Xenopus tropicalis: one gene and its partners. The protein of the gene in region 1 purifies or fractionates together with the protein of each later gene. This does not show direct contact. Links are inferred from orthologs where the notes say so. Each region holds a gene or a part of one and is shown in the gene's direction. Other genes may lie near its edges.

Evidence for each region.
Region 2: the proteins of usp15 (region 1) and tut1 purify together in Homo sapiens (affinity purification with mass spectrometry; 4 studies listed by BioGRID and IntAct, with this or other methods). This does not show direct contact. The link is inferred for Xenopus tropicalis from reciprocal best matches to the Homo sapiens genes USP15 and TUT1.
Region 3: the proteins of usp15 (region 1) and glutamine synthetase purify together in Homo sapiens (affinity purification with mass spectrometry; 3 studies listed by BioGRID, with this or other methods). This does not show direct contact. The link is inferred for Xenopus tropicalis from reciprocal best matches to the Homo sapiens genes USP15 and GLUL.
Region 4: the proteins of usp15 (region 1) and rnf40 purify together in Homo sapiens (affinity purification with mass spectrometry; 4 studies listed by BioGRID and IntAct, with this or other methods). This does not show direct contact. The link is inferred for Xenopus tropicalis from reciprocal best matches to the Homo sapiens genes USP15 and RNF40.

Annotation. Positions count from the first base shown.
Region 1 is NC_030679.2:62,759,277-62,763,218, reverse strand, and holds the start of usp15 (ubiquitin carboxyl-terminal hydrolase 15), read left to right. Parts: upstream 1-1,134; 5' UTR 1,135-1,213; coding exon 1,214-1,302; intron 1,303-3,942. UniProt on the Homo sapiens protein: Hydrolase that removes conjugated ubiquitin from target proteins and regulates various pathways such as the TGF-beta receptor signaling, NF-kappa-B and RNF41/NRDP1-PRKN pathways.
Region 2 is NC_030680.2:36,819,967-36,824,221, reverse strand, and holds the start of tut1 (speckle targeted PIP5K1A-regulated poly(A) polymerase), read left to right. Parts: upstream 1-1,455; 5' UTR 1,456-1,531; coding exon 1,532-1,640; intron 1,641-3,115; coding exon 3,116-3,306; intron 3,307-4,084; exon of another isoform or gene 4,085-4,095; coding exon 4,096-4,255. UniProt on the Homo sapiens protein: Poly(A) polymerase that creates the 3'-poly(A) tail of specific pre-mRNAs. Localizes to nuclear speckles together with PIP5K1A and mediates polyadenylation of a select set of mRNAs, such as HMOX1.
Region 3 is NC_030680.2:100,273,100-100,277,299, forward strand, and holds the start of glutamine synthetase, read left to right. Parts: upstream 1-1,400; 5' UTR 1,401-1,504; intron 1,505-4,200. UniProt on the Homo sapiens protein: Glutamine synthetase that catalyzes the ATP-dependent conversion of glutamate and ammonia to glutamine.
Region 4 is NC_030685.2:13,703,971-13,707,949, reverse strand, and holds the start of rnf40 (E3 ubiquitin-protein ligase BRE1B), read left to right. Parts: upstream 1-1,179; 5' UTR 1,180-1,283; intron 1,284-3,979. Other genes in the region: ccdc189 (coiled-coil domain-containing protein 189), read right to left, coding at 723-754, 901-951.

The DNA of each region.
Region 1 (3,942 bases):
GGATAAGGCTAAAAGGAAGTCACTGAAGAGTGTGAAATACGGAAATTCACTTATTTAAATAGACATGAACGTTAAACACTTTGCAGTGGATTGTATTTATGTGTTTTCACAGAAAAGTGAAGTGAATTTGGTAGTGATTTGTTTCGGATACAAACACATTTGGAGGGGTGATTATCAATATTATATTACTGTATTACGCTATATATACATATACATATATATATTTTTTTTTTCTTTTATCCCATAAGACCTCATCTGGGAAGTCTGGACAGAGGAGGGCGCTCCAGAGTTAAGTATTATTGTTTAAACCAGGGGTCCCCAACCTTTCTTACGCGTGAGCCACAGTCAAATGTAAAAAGACTTGGAGAGCAACACAGGCATTATAAAAGTTTATGGAGGTGCCAAATAAGGGCTAAGATTGGCTATTAGGCAGCCTCTATGCACACTATCAGCTTACAAGAGGCTTTATTTGGTAGGAAATCTTCTTTTTATTCAACCAAAACTGCCCCCAAGTCAGGAATTCAAAATAACTACCTGGTTTGGGGGCACTAAGAGCAACATCCAAGGGGTTGGTGAGCAACATGTTGCCCCCGAGCCACTGGTTGGGGATCACTGGTTTAAACGGAAGCACAAGGTATCTGGAGTGGGCTATACATTTCATTCACACTAAAAAATCATTGTTTCATATTAATTAGACATCTGCCCACTCTAGCCTTTATAGATCACATTTTTGCCTAACTATATTGAAAACATCTTTTTGCAGTCGAAAACACTTTTTTTGCCCAGTCTATTCTACCCACTTTCATTTCTACACTGAACTGTTCCTTTAAAGCTCAAATGTCTGAATTATATTTGGCTGATTGGCAAATCCAAATCCCATATATCTAAGACTGTTTTAAACTAAAGGGGGAGAGCTGACCAAATTTTTGATGAAAAGGGGAATTTTGCTACATATCTTTCTTCACCCTATCTTCGTAATGTATTCGAATGAATCTAAAATATAAGAACACAAGGCAATGTATTACTAGAAGAGTATCATCCAGGTCTATAATAACTTGGTTTTCACTGTCTGCAGCACATCATTCAGCACCTCACACTGTGCCCACCCACTGTCCGACTTCTTCCAACAACACAGCCGGGAACGCGCTTTTTCCCTACTTCGCCTACGTGACGTCACTCCCAGAATGCAGCGCGTAGCTGTCAGTGGAGTAAGATGGCGGAGGGCGGAGTGGTGGATCTGGAGACTCAGAGATCCGAAGTGTCAGCCCTGCTGAAAACCCCTCTCAGAAGAGGAGACACCTGGTAAGCATGAGCGAGCACAGCGGGGAGATGTGGCAGGGGACGCGCTCTCACTTACTAAGCGACGGTGTGAGGGGAAAATGCAGGTTCCAGGCAGTGGGAAAGGTAACGAAGGAGCTTGACAGGGAAAACATCTGTATCATGCACAGCAGCAGCGCAGTGTGTGGGGACAGAGTACCGGGTTTGTCACCTGTTCATTGTCACTCATGTGCTGAGAGCTCGCTAGGGGCAGTCTGCCTCATTCCTAAGCATCTGCGGCCGGTTGGCCACACGGACTCCAAGTCCTGTACTTGTGTAGTTCAGGGGCCTTGGGACGCTTATGACTTCTCCCACAAGCCCACTCGCATACAGTCGCTGTGCCAGGGAGACCCGGCTGTTCTCTGCTTGCAACCCCTAATGTTTGGCCTTTCAAAATATGCTAGAGGGCCTACTTTTCATTGCTGTTATCTGTTTAATTCAGTTTTGAATATTACTGATAAAATATTGCACATAACATGGAACCCCCAAAATACAGTTTTAGATAATAAAAGAAAATGTTATTGTAAATAACTTACAAAAAAAAATCATTTTGATGGTTTTAAACTGCAGCGAAAGCATGTGTGTGCATTTATGCGCTCTGCATATTGCATGTTTAAAAAATGAAGATTGACGATATTCTTCACACAGAAACAAATTTTTCAAGACTATAAAAATGTAAATCAAAAATGAGCAACGGTATCCAGAAAACTTAACTGAGCTAGGATAAATCTGCCCCTACATATGGCTGTTAAATGTTTAGTTTGTTTCTGCTTTAATGATGGTTACCACTAGAAAAAAATCTGAAAATCTTTTCCGCAATTATTTAGCAATGGAAACAACGAGGATAAGGTTTGAGCAACTTGTAAATTCCTCTCATAGACTTGCATTAAAATGAATGCAGTGCTTATTTTTCTCAGACAACTTTGCATGTTACCCTGGTATAGCTGCAAGATTTGGCATAGGAAATAGTGGATTTCATCAGCTGAGAAAGCCAACTGAGGAAAGCTTGCAATGCGTTTATAAATAAGCAAATGTAGCAAAAATCCAGAAGGTCAGGTTATTTAATGGGATCAAATTAAAACTCCTGAGAAGAAAGGCATGAACCTTATTCAGACTATAATAAATTTCCCCAAATCATTGCATTTGATTCTGGCTCTTTGCCTTCAGTGCTGGTCACTGTGATGCTAACTGAAAATAACAGGCCCTTTCCCTGTGCACATTCTTATTTTTAGCTTCCTGGAATCTTGAGTTTCTGATGCTGAAAATGTAGAACAGTTGATGTCCTTAGTAGTTTGTTGATGACAAACCTGTGCCATATGGCTACAGATGGTGTACTGTGTAACAGGCATTGTGATAGATGTCATGTATCAGTGTTACTGTTTAGAACTGTACTTACCCCATTTAGTCCTTATCCACATTTTTCCTTAATTACTGTTTCTCAGATGAAGATTAATTTTTAGGTCTAGTCACATTATTGCTCATAAATGCATTCCTTTTGAGGTCACATACTGGAGGTGTGATTCAGCTAATAGTGTTAGATCAAATTTTATACTGCAGTATAGGTCTTTACCATTACCAAATACTATATATGTACTCACATGGAAATCTACAACAGTATTTTGCTAGGGTTGCATCTGATCAAGTCATTTTGAACTAATGTGGTACCAGACTAAAAGTAATTTGCACCTTCTATGATCTAAAGAATATACTTTAAGAATCTTCATACCATGTAAACATTACTTATAAATAATTTAGAAACCTAAAGTAACTTATTCCATCAGTTTACAAATTAGCATGGTTTCTCAGGGCCCCTTTTGAACCACATCACTGACAGCTGCCAGAATTTAAGTATTCATCCCATATCAAGTACCATGTCAGTTGCATTCTTTGTTTGAATCCCTATGATTTGTGCTGACTTGCAGTCTTTGACTACTGAGTGCATGTCACAAAGATTTAAACAGGAAACAAAATGATGCAGGCCAAGATGTTAGCATCTAACACCAGTACACAACTCTGCACTTCGCTATGTGCTACAGGAGTCACCAGCAGTTGTAACTTATGTGGTTTGGGTGGGGGGCCTGGGGGAAAGTATGATGGTGCTATAGTTAAAATAGTGTCAGCAATCTGGTTTTTAAAGGACATGTCAACTCCAAAAAATATTTTTTGCCTACTAAAAGAAAACATAATTCTAAGCAACTTTGCAATATACATTAATTACATATTTGTAATTGGTTTTGAGTTATTTGTATATATAACTGCTATTAACAGCAGTGTTTGTCTGTCCTTTTCTATTCTCTGCCCTGGTGGCTCTGGCGTTTGAAACAATGTAACCACAAGTCAGCAGATTGACAGACCTGTCTTACTGGAGGAGACTGGCATTTACAACATTGTTTAAAAAGTAACAACCAGGAGTTCAGCAAATGCTGCTTTCAATAGCAATTACATTTACAATGAACTTTTAAAGCACTACTAATTTTTAATAAATTGCTATTGGAAAGTTGCTTAGAATTAAGTTTTCTTTTATTAGGCATAAAATTATTGTCTATTGTGTCTACTAGTGGCTTGCTCATTTAGCTCAGTAGCTGTGATTCAGTCTGCCTGCTTTACTTGCCTTACTGTGTATCC
Region 2 (4,255 bases), on another chromosome or scaffold:
TATGGGGGGCTCTGTGTATTGGGGGGCACTGTGTATGGGGGGGCACTGTGTATGGGGGGGGGCACTGTGTATGGGGGGGCTCTGTGTATTGGGGGGCTCTGTGTATTGGGGGGCACTGTGTATGAGGGGCTCTGTGTATGAGGGGCTCTGTGTATGGGGGGGCACTGTGTATGGGGGCACTGTGTATGGGGGGGCTCTGTGTATTGGGGGGCACTGTGTATGGGGGGCTCTGTGTTTGGAGGGCTTTGTGTTTGGGGGGCACTGTGTATGGGGGGGCTCTGTGTATGGGGGGGCACTGTGTATGGGGGGGCACTGTGTATTGGGGGCACTGTGTTTGGGGTGCTCTGTGTATAGGGGCACTGTGTTTGGGGGGCACTGTGTTTGGGGGGCTCTGTGTATGGGGGCACTGTGTATGGGGGGTACTGTGTATGGGGGGTACTGTCTCCCCTGTGTGGGGGGGCAAAACTGGTAGATAGTTATATCTCACTTATATTTATTATAACATTTGTCCTCCCTGTGTGTAATTGTGTATATTGTAAGATTGTACAGCACTGCGTACCCTTGTGGCGCTTTATTTATAAAGTTATACATACATACATAACTGACTGCCTTCTCTCTATATTTGTATTTTATATGTAGGAGTTGCTATATTGTTTTCCCTAGGTAGTACAGTATGAGGGTATAGCACATTTGCATCTGATCCCACCATTTCAACTATATAAAAGGAGTATTTTAAGAACAAAATGGGGTGTGTTAATTGCGGCGTGATCACAAAAGTGGGCGTGGTCAAAAAAATTTGCCACGCTGCGCACGCCAAATCTTCTTGTCCCTCTTTTTGTTTTTCAAATGTTGGGAGGTGTGCCTTATATTATATTTAAGGGTTGGCAGTGTTATTTTCCTATCACACTATAAAGAACCAGACATTGCCATCAGCAATTGTGGTGCCCCCATACTACTCAGACCAAGCCCCATGGGGCCTTCTTATATATTTATCTTTCTTCCCTATTAATAGCATTGACATCAAGCATCACTCATTCATGGCCAGTTGGCAACCCCGCCAGTTACCTGGGCCCCACTCCATGATCAACCCATTATGACAATGCCCCGCCCATGATTCACCCAAACCCCGCCCCCACAGAATTGCGCCTCTGACTGGAGCAACCCCATGTTGGCAGCCCTAAATGTACGTGTCAGTATAGACAATTAGGCTCCTAAAAAACTGCAGCAGTAACATCGACTTGTAAATAGAATCTTGAGAAATGAAGCCCCAGATAGCTAGGTGCAAGGATATATAACATGTGCTAGAGTTGCATTAGTACATAGGTAGAACCCTCCCTTCCCCCAGGCCCTATGGCCCCACCACACGCTGCCCCCTCACCTACCACTTCCTTTGTCTCTTCCACTCATTAATATGTATTAGGAAGGCGCGTATGAATATTCAGTGGTGAAACTCCCGCCTACCCGCGCTGGAACGTTCCTTTCCATTTGTGACGTACTGGCTTTGCGCCGGAAGTGTCGGGTTAATGGTGAAATGGAGGCTGAGGAGAGTAGTTCTTCGGTGGTTCCGCTGCCGCAAGATGTTCAGTCCGTTGTGCGGGGAGGGTTCCGGTGCCTCCTGTGCGGGGTCAACATCCCAAACCGTGGGTTTTCCTGTTATTGCAGATAGTAGCTCGGATACGCCTTTCCCTCTCTCCCTAGCAAACTTTCCTATTGCCAACCTGTGGCGCCCTGGCTGGCTTATCCTCATCCCAGGCGCTGTAGTAGCTTAGCTGCTGCAAAAGTCGCTGCTTAAAGTCCACACTAGCGCTTTGTTTAGCATTCTGCTCCTTCCTACAGTGAAAGTAAGGTCTTTATACCCCTCCATGCAAACAAGTATAAACGTGTATCAAGCCCTAGGCACATGAACACAATGTGTTTGTGTACATAATATCGCAAAAGTTATACTATATTCTCTAAAATACTAGTTAGGAATGGGTGGGCTGATTTATCAGCGCTTAGAACAGTAAATAAGGAAGGGCAACATACTTACATGTGGCTGACTTTGCACCCAAGCTTTGCACAGCTACAGGCACACGCCTCACACAGATGCAGGCTACACACGGCTACTTTAAGCAAAATATAATGAAAGGCATTTAGGGCACACACTGGCATAGTCTTTGGGTGTATTGTCCCTATGTAGTAAACTCCCAGTGCATGTCGCCTACTTGCTAATGTTATTTGGCCACAGGCAGATGAGCAGGCCACATGGGTGCCCTTTATAGGTGTTAGACCTGGGGACCAGGGTGGCTCTGGTCCCCTACATTTCTGTCCTGGTTCTGAATGCTGAGCTGGGCATGCAACAGGGATATAAAACAAAAAACTTGCCCCTCTTGATCAGATATTTGTGGGCTAGACTATCACTCTGGACAGTTCGGGGCCAATAAGCAGGCAACTCAATCTGAAGTGGTAGAATTATGTTCCAATTATAACCAGAATAACATCTGTAAGATTTTAATCACCCACTTCACATGTGGCTTCTCTCTGACATGATAGAGTACAGCCTGCTTGGAAAGGGTTAGTTGCTTTAAATGAACTTTTAGTCTGATGTAGAGCGTCACATCCTGAGACAATTTGCAATTGGTCTTTATGTTTTTATTTGTGGTGTTTTTTGTGGTTATTTTGCTTTTTGTTCAGCAGCTCTCCAGTATGTAACGTCAACAGATATCTGATTGAGTCTAAATTACCTTAGCAGCCAGGCAGTGTTTTAAATGAGAGACTGGAATATGATTAGGAGAGGAACTGAACAGAATGATAATTAATAAAACTAATAATAATAAAATTGTAGCCCTCACAGAGCAACAGATTTTTGGCTGCCGGGACTCAGTGACCCAATTGTAAACTGAAAAGAGGCAGAAAACTCTATTAAAAAATAAAGACCAATTTAAAAGTTGTTCAGAATTAGTGATTAGTGCTGAACTAACCCTTTAAATTCCATAATCTGCTGCTACTGTTTGGTAAAGGTCACCCTAACAAATGGCATTCGTTCTTACTCTCCTTTTTCACTGCTGTTTGTGCTAAAAGTTGTGCTGTGCAAAGTTTTTCAGCAGCCTAAATAGCTGAGACTTCATTTCTCTAGGTCCAAGCTTAACAGATCACTTGAGTGGCCGGCGTCATGTGCGGCTATGTGAGGAGCGAGACAAACGCAATCAGCAGCAGGAGCGCAGTGTGTATGTCAGTAATTTCCCACGTGAGACATCTGAGGAGGAGCTGAGGGATGTCTTTCAGAAAATTTCTCCTGTCAGGAACATAGTGATGGATAAGGATCGGGTAGGAAATGACTTCCTAGTACCTAGTCTTATAATATATTACCTAGTATAACTTCTCATTTTGTTACACTATTTCATAGCTATGCCCTTCAGAGCTATTATTTTATTTGAAGAAACTTTTTAATTTATTCTTGAAACAATAGGGCTCATTTACAGTGCCCCACGCAGTGTGCAAAGGGAAAAAAGGGCACACTTTGCCCACTGCATGGGGCATTGTGAAATTGGAGCACAGAAACTGTGGCTTTCTTCACTAATAAACCACTGTCTGCATTATTCAGCGAAGTGTTAGTGAATGGTGGGTGGAGGCGCGTAGGCATCCCTCCTATCTGCCCATAGACATGCAAGGTACAGAGTGGCAGGAGGCAGTAAGGCCAAGAATGGGAATCACCTTCTGGCACTGCTGTTTGCATGGAGTACTGGACTTATGATCCGTTGCTCCATGCAAAGTGCAAAACACACCTGGGTGCAAGTGCTCTGTAGATGAGCACAAAGGGCCACTCATGCACCCTTTAGTGCTCTTGAAATTGTGCCCAGGGGTTTCCTAAAATGACCCCTTATGTAGCAGATGTTGGCCTTGCATAGTTCTTTACATGTCTGTTAATCAGGTGGCTTCTGTAACTTTGCTTGTAAATAAGACAGAGAGTGCACATCCATATAAATAAAATGTTGGGTGCCAATTCAATATAACTGACCTAGCAAACAGCTCCCGAGCAGTCACAATGAAATGCAATGCAAAATTTAAAATTCAAAATCTTGGTTGTGTTATATTTATCTCTTAGTTTCCCTGCAGGGCCTTTATGCAATTGTGGAGTTTGAGAGTAAGGATGGCATGTGTGCAGCCTTAGAAGAGCCTCAAATAAAGCTTAGTGGAAAACGTTTGCGGGTAAAACCACGAGAAAAGAAGGAGTTTCAAAGGAAAAAGGGAGGCTCACCCCGAACATTGCAACCTC
Region 3 (4,200 bases), on another chromosome or scaffold:
CCAGACCCCTGGACTATTTACAACCCACCCTAATAAACCTTAATTACTTTCACTATCTTCACAAGTTATCTCTATCTATCTGTAACTTCCTAATTTATTGCTTGTAAACACTTCTCTCTGATCTATCAGTATAAATATTGTGCCATTTCAGTTCTCATTTGTATTTTGCCTGATGAAGGGGCCTTAGAGCTCCAAAAGCTTGCAATGTATTTTTATTGTTAGCCAATATAGGTATCATTTCTACAATACTCTTGTATTTGTGTTTTGTTGTTTTTTTATTATTATTTTTGACACTGGCTAACACGGTACTACAGTTTTTGTTTTGTGACCACTTTAGACTGTGTGTAAAAATGTACTTTACACTTTAATATTGTGCTTGAAATGATAAAACTTTGATACATGATTAAGGGGTATTACCCTGATGAGCCCTGTAACCTGGTGTTCACCTGTCAGGCAAGAGTTAAACACTTGTATTTCAACGGAGCCCAGTGACTATATGTTTCTGTGTGAGGACGAGACCTGAATCTCAATAACACTAAACTGTAATCCATTAACTCCTTGCCACCCATTTGTAAGGAAATTAAGAGTAAAATCCAGGATTGCTCCTTATGGAGTGAAACTGAAAAGATATGAAGCTGAGGTGCATAACGCTATCTGGGCTATACACATCATTAAGCACATTATACGGATTGGCATGGCCCCCTGTTATAACACAAGAGTCTGGAAGTAACCAACATGGGCGCCCCCTAATGGCTTCACGCATGGTTGCTTCCACCTACAGACAGGACTGAGCGCTACAGGGAAACCGCGATAGGTTGGGGGGGGGGGGGGGGGGGGGGACTGTACTAAGGAAACAAGGGAACAGAAAAGAAACTGACAGCGGGGGAGAATTTTTTTTAAGCCGCGACAGAAAGGAAAGGCTGAGGCTGTGTAGGAAAGGCTGAGGCTGTAGTTTGCGCACTGGCCAGGAGAAATCACACGTGTGAAGACTAGTGTAGATGCCCCCTCCCTGAATCCTGTCCGTCTGGACTGTCTCATTTTCACCGTAGAGCTCTGTCCTCTTTTCCCTCGTTCTGTACATGGCTCGGCTTCCCCAGAACCTCTGCAAAACTGATGGTTTCCTAGCTTTTCCTTCCCTATTATCTGTTCCATTTTCTCTCCTATCGCAGTCTCCACAATTTTCACCCCCCTCCCAACAGTTGTTTTTCTCAGTGCCGGGGGTGTAGAGCATGGGGGGGTACCCTGGCGCTATGGCTCCGCCCATCTATCCGCATATCCAATGGCAACCTGCCATGAGGGCGTGTCTATGATGGCATGTACCGATCACGTTTGTGCCGAGCCAATGGCTGCCTTGTGGGCCGGCACTCGCTGCTTAATAAATGTATGTGAAGGTGACGCTTGAGCAAAGGCGAGAATGGGAGAACCCGAGCTATAGTACAGAATCCTGCAACTCAACAGCCCTCTGCATTACCAGCATCCTCACCTCTATCTTCCTGCCGTCCAGGTACCTGCAGCCTCAGTCTCTATCAGTCCCCCCTTGCCAGCCCTGCCTATCCTCTCCATTTCCAAGGTCTTTTCTCTTTGCCTATTGTTGCTGCCTTTATATCAGCCCTTCCATGCCATAACACAGGGATTCTTGGGCTATTGGCCAGGACCACAATATGGGCCCCTTGCTGTTTGGAGTGGGTCTCCATCACCCCTCACCTTTAATGGGACACTTCTATCTACAACAGCAAATGGCAACTGTGCATAAAGTGCATAACTGGAGTGCTGAAGCTGCCATAACCTGCTTGTTGTTGGCATAGTAGCAGCCTTGTACCATAACTTTTCATTTTTAAGCTTTTATAATCTTTATTACTGACTTGTATGTATAGTACAGGGATTAATTGCCTTCCTTTTGTACCATCCCTTTCCATTGTATAGTCTTTATTGCCTGTGTGATTGTAGTATAGTGGCTCCCCCTACATTCCTACCCACCCTTTCCATCCCATAGACTGTATTGCCTGTTTGCTTATGGTACAGTATATGCCTTTATTATCAAACCTACCCTTTCCATCCCATAGCCTGTATTGCCTGTTTGCTTATGGTACAGTGTATCCCTTTTTTATCAAACCTACCCTTTCCATCCCATAGCCTGTATTGCCTGTTTGCTTATGGTACAGTATATGCCTTTATTATCAAACCTACCCTTTCCATCCCATAGCCTGTATTGCCTGTTTGCTTATGGTACAGTGTATCCCTTTATTATCAAACCTACCCTTTCCATCCCATAGCCTTACTGCCTGTTTGCTTATGGTACAGTATATGCCTTTATTATCAAACCTACCCTTTCCATCCCATAGTCTGTATTGCCTGTTTGCTTATGGTACAGTATATGCCTTTATTATCAAACCTACTTTTTCCATCCCATAGCCTTACTGCCTGCTAGCTTAAGGTACAGTGGCTGCCTTCCCCTTTTCCACCAAAAAGCCACCAACAGCAGAGATTCCTTTCCAGAGCAATAAAAAACAACATTTAATTTTAATTAATTAAAGGTAGATTTTAAACTTTTCCAGAAGCATTGAAAGTAAAGGGATTAAAATAGTGCAGTACACAAGCAGATATAGTAGTATTGTATTTATAATAACTTTTTATTTTACTTTCCTGGTAATATTCAGTAAGCTATTTCCCAGAGAAATCCATATTTATTTAAATATTTAAGATTATTAATATGTGTTGAAACTGTGGTACTATTCCTTCTAAGACCCTTAGACTCAAATGAGACACTGCCCCCTATGGGCCATAAAATGAAAGACTACAGATATCCTTGTTTATTTATACTAGCTATGTATTAAACTAAGGTGATATTAAGTTTGATTTCAGAATCCTTTATTTTTTTTAGTACATCCAGCATCCAGTTTACTACATTTTTGAGTGTGGTTCTTATGCAGTCAGTTACTACCATCTGAGGTTTTGTGAGATCAATTGCCAGTATTCTATACAGATTTTTCCATGAAGCTCTCCAGTTGTTTTTGAACTGAATTTGCTATGGCCCACTTGATATTGATGTTGCTGGGAAGGGTAATTCAACAGCAGTAGGATGGCTGTATGTTGGAGTTCCCTGATGCCTGTTTATTATGTAAGCCATTAGCTCCCAGCCTGTATGTGCATCTGTGTGCCTTTCGCAGTGTTGCTGGATGTGTGCAATGTAGCATAGTAACAGATGCCACAATATGTGCCTCAGTTAATATCCCTTTGTTCTGTGCACCTGTCTTTCTTTCCTGGCTACTGATTTCCTCTGGGTATCTCTGTCCATCCTACCAATGTGTGCATATTCCTTTCCGCTCGGTGCATCTGCCTATCTCTCAACTGTACTGTAGGTGCAACTGCAAATCTCTCCTGATTGCTTTGCTTTGTCTTGTAAAGCTCTAGGTTGCCAGGGGTGACATTTGGTTATGCAATGAAAAAAAATCCATTTGGCAAGTCATGATTTGAAGACAAGATTTTAATGTACACACTGGTGCATAATTATTTATAAAGCTGTTTTATGTTATGAAATAAATGGTGTATTTTTAAATCTTCATTATAGCTATAAAGCATAAATTAGCACTATACATTCTGATTGCACAAATTGTCTATTAAAGTGCTACTTATGGCATTTATAAATGTGTGTATATTCTTTATTGCCCAGCTAATGCCCATTATGTCAGGCCTGGCTTATCATATTGAAATCAGTAAAACAAGAATGCAGAACACTTTCTGGCATGCAAAGCAATATAGAATGTTGTATGGAAATTGGTGGCACTCGCCACTGGATTTTATGGGGCTTTTTTAAAAATAATACTAGTTTTTATACCATAAAGTTACACCCCACTGTACATATACAATTTATTACACAGCTTTGTAAATGGTCATGCCTTTACAGCATCACCTCCTGCGGCTCCTAGGAAACGTGCATAGTGGTGCATGTAATCCCGAAAAGTGCCATGTGTGCCATCAGCCTAAAATGGTTGTGTGTTTCAGTGCCATTTTTACACACCTTTATAAACATTGATTTACCATTAGCTGATTAACATTATTAAGGAATATAAACTTTAGAACAAAGTTGAGACTTTGGGGGTTTCACTTCAATCAGCGCAGCTTAATAAATTCATAACCTGTAAACCAAAATATTGGTGTAATCACATCAACATTGAATAACATGCAGTACACTAGAATGCA
Region 4 (3,979 bases), on another chromosome or scaffold:
TGTGGGTGTGTAAGGGTGTGGGTGTGTAAGGGTGTGGGTGCTATCAGTAAGGAGGTGTATGGCTGAGAAGGGTGTAAGGGCAGGGAGGGGGTGTGAGGATGAAGCTGATTAAAGGGATACTGTAATGATTTTTATTGGGTACTTTTTCATTTCTAAATAAAACTGTTACATCAAATAATTCCCTCTAAACTTTTATTCTGGAACCAACAAATGTATTTGTAGCTGTAATATTGGTGTGTAGGCGCCATCTCAGTGCATTGTGCCTGAGTCTGAGCTTTCAGCCAGCGCTACACATTAGAACTGCTTTCAGCTAACCTATTGTTTCTCCTACTCCCATGTAACTGGAGGAGTCCCAAGCCGGACTTGGATTTCTTACTATTGAGTGCTATTCTGATACCTACTGGGAGCTGCTATCTTGCTCCCTTCCCATTGTTCTGCTGATCAGCTGCTGGGGGTGAGGGGGGGGGATATCACTCCAACTTGCAGCGCAGCAGTAAAGTGAGACTGAAGTTTATCAGAGCACAGGTCACATGGCTGTGGCACCCTGGGAAATGAAGAATATGGCTAGCCCCATGGGAAAAACAGATTACAATGCAGGATTCTGCCGGAGAAGCTCTATTAATTGATGGGGTTTTGGTCCCATTTTCCCCATAGCAGTATTGCTTTAAGGAGGAGGAAGAGGAGTAAGTGGGGGGGGGGGGGGGGGGGGGGGTGACTTTTACCAGAGGCAGATTTGTGGTTTTCTTCTTTTTATCTGAAATGACAAACAAAGGAAGCAGTCATAATTATATATATTATTATATATTACATTATATTTCTGTGTGTGTAAGTATATGTCATGCGTACTCAATCTAATTGAATGAGCTGTAAGCAAAGAGCTGATTGGTCTGACAGACTTACCGACAGTAGCACCTCGGTTCCGGGTCTCCGGTATCCGATCTCCCCGGACATTATTTTAACCTTTTCACTCTCCGCAGCGTCCCATCTCCAAGACGACCGGCCGCTGACCAATGGCCTTCCCTTTCGCCATAGACTCCACCCCTTCAAGAACTGGCAAATATCTTTAGGTACTACAGTCGGGCTCACGGATCACTGAGCCAATGAAAGAAGCGCTTTATGTGATTAGCAGCTCTCCGCGCCCATAGGATTTCCGCAGACTATTGGGGGGCGGGACCTGTCATTTGGCTTTCCTGTAGTGACGAAAGTCTTGACTGCGCGATTTGCGCATGTGTGAAGGGAGGTTGGTCACATCCGGGATTTCTGGGAGGAAGATGGCGGCGAGGGTAAGATGGGAGCAAATATAGGAATTGATAGAATGAAATAGGCAGGGGAATTAGTAGCTAATGCAGAATGGGAGTGAGGGGGGCAGAGAGACAGAGTCATAACTGAGGTAGCAGGGAGTCTGCTGAGCCCGGGCTGTGAGGGAGGCGCTATATAGGCTGATACTAGGGGCGGCAGCAGGGAAGGTAGGCTCTCTGTGGGACACTCACTCGCCTGTCCGTCTTATAGTCACAGAGATAAAATAAGGGGCATATTATAATGTGGAATAATCTAGTGAATATATATATACATCATCTCCCTGCAGCCCTCCGGCTGTTCATCTCCCTGCAGCCCTCCGGCTGTTCAACTCCCTGCAGCCCTCCGGCTGTTCAACTCCCTGCAGCCCTCCGGCTGTTCAACTCCCTGCAGCCCTCCGGCTGTTCAACTCCCTGCAGCCCTCCGGCTGTTCAACTCCCTGCAGCCCTCCGGCTGTTCAACTCCCTGCAGCCCTCCGGCTGTTCAACTCCCTGCAGCCCTCCGGCTGTTCAACTCCCTGCAGCCCTCCGGCTGTTCAACTCCCTGCAGCCCTCCGGCTGTTCAACTCCCTGCAGCCCTCCGGCTGTTCAACTCCCTGCAGCCCCCCGGCTGTTCAACTCCCTGCAGCCCTCCGGCTGTTCAACTCCCTGCAGCCCTCCGGCTGTTCAACTCCCTGCAGCCCTCCGGCTGTTCAACTCCCTGCAGCCCTCCGGCAGCTGCACATTGAGATGTAGTGTGAGAGGGAGGCAGAGGTATACATGGGCATATTGAGACATGCAGGGGAATACATGGGCAGGGGGGCAGATATAGATATGGAGAGATGCAGGGGAATACATGGGCAGGGGGGCAGATATAGATATGGAGAGATGCAGGGGAATATATGGGCAGGGGGGCAGATATGGAGAGATGCAGGGGAATACATGGGCAGGGGGGCAGATATAGATATGGAGAGATGCAGGGGAATACATGGGCAGGGGGGCTGCAGGGGAATACATGGGCAAGGGGGGCAGATATAGATATGGAGAGATGCAGGGGAATACATGGGCAGGGGGGCAGATATAGATATGGAGAGATGCAGGGGAATACATGGGCAAGGGGGCAGATATAGATATGGAGAGATGCAGGGGAATATACATGGGCAGGGAGGCAGATATAGATATGGAGAGATGCAGGGGAATACATGGGCAGGGGGGCAGATATAGATATGGAGAGATGCAGGGGAATACAGGGGCAGGGGGGCAGATATAGATATGGAGAGATGCAGGGGAATACATGGGCAGGGGGGCAGATATAGATATGGAGAGATGCAGGGGGAATATACATGGGCAGGGAGGCAGATATAGATATGGAGAGATGCAGGGGAATACATGGGCAGGGGGGCAGATATAGATATGGAGAGATGCAGGGGAATACAGGGGCAAGGGGGCAGATATAGATATGGAGAGATGCAGGGGAATACATGGGCAGGGGGGCAGATATAGATATGGAGAGATGCAGGGGAATACAGGGGCAGGGGGGCAGATATAGATATGGAGAGATGCAGGGGAATACAGGGGCAGGGAGGCAGATATAGATATGGAGAGATGCAGGGGAATACAGGGGCAGGGGGGCAGATATAGATATGGAGAGATGCAGGGGAATACAGGGGCAGGGAGGCAGATATAGATATGGAGAGATGCAGGGGAATACATGGGCAGGGGGGCAGATATAGATATGGAGAGATGCAGGGGAATACAGGGGCAGGAGGGCAGATATAGATATGGAGAGATGCAGGGGAATACATGGGCAGGGCAGGGAGGCAGATATAGATATGAAGCATAATACATAAGTAGAGAATGGAAATCAGATACAGGTGGGGATATGAAGACGGGTGAATACATGGTATGAGAAGGTAGGCAGGAATAAGTATGGAGAGATGCAGAGGAAAGTGAGAAGATGAGAGATTGTAGAGATGTAAGAGGGGTTCACGGGAGACAGCGAGGCAGAGAGTGATGGGCAAATAACTGGAAAAAGCAAAAAAATCAGAAATGTGGAGGAAGTGACAGAGGGGAGAAAGCTTTGGGATGGAGAGGAAAGAGGCGAAGAGATAGGGAGTCAGAGGGGGAGGAAGAGAGATTGAGGGGTGACAGATAGATGAAGAGGAGGCAGAAAGGGAGGCCAAAAGGTGAAGAAGGAGGCAGAGAAATGCAGACATGAATGGGGCAGTGATATTAATGAAGAGAAATTGAGAAGGAGACACAGGTGGAGAAGGAAGAAACACTGAGTGGGAGAGGGAGACAGAGGTGGAGAAGGAAGAAACACTGAGTGGGAGAGGGAGACAGAGGTGGAGAAGGAAGAAACACTGAGTGGGAGAGGGAGACAGAGGTGGAGAAGGAAGAAACACTGAGTGGGAGAGGGAGACAAGTGGAGAAGGGAGAAACACTGAGTGGGAGAGGGAGACAGGTGGAGAAGGGAGAAACACTGAGTGGGAGAGGGAGACAGAGGTGGAGAAGGAAGAAACACTGAGTGGGAGACAGGTGGAGAAGGGAGAAACACTGAGTGGGAGACAGGTGGAGAAGGGAGAAACACTGAGTGGGAGAGGGAGACAGGTGGAGAAGGGAGAAACACTGAGTGGGAGAGGGAGACAGGTGGAGAAGGGAGAAACACTGAGTGGGAGAGGGAGACAGGTGGAGAAGGGAGAAAC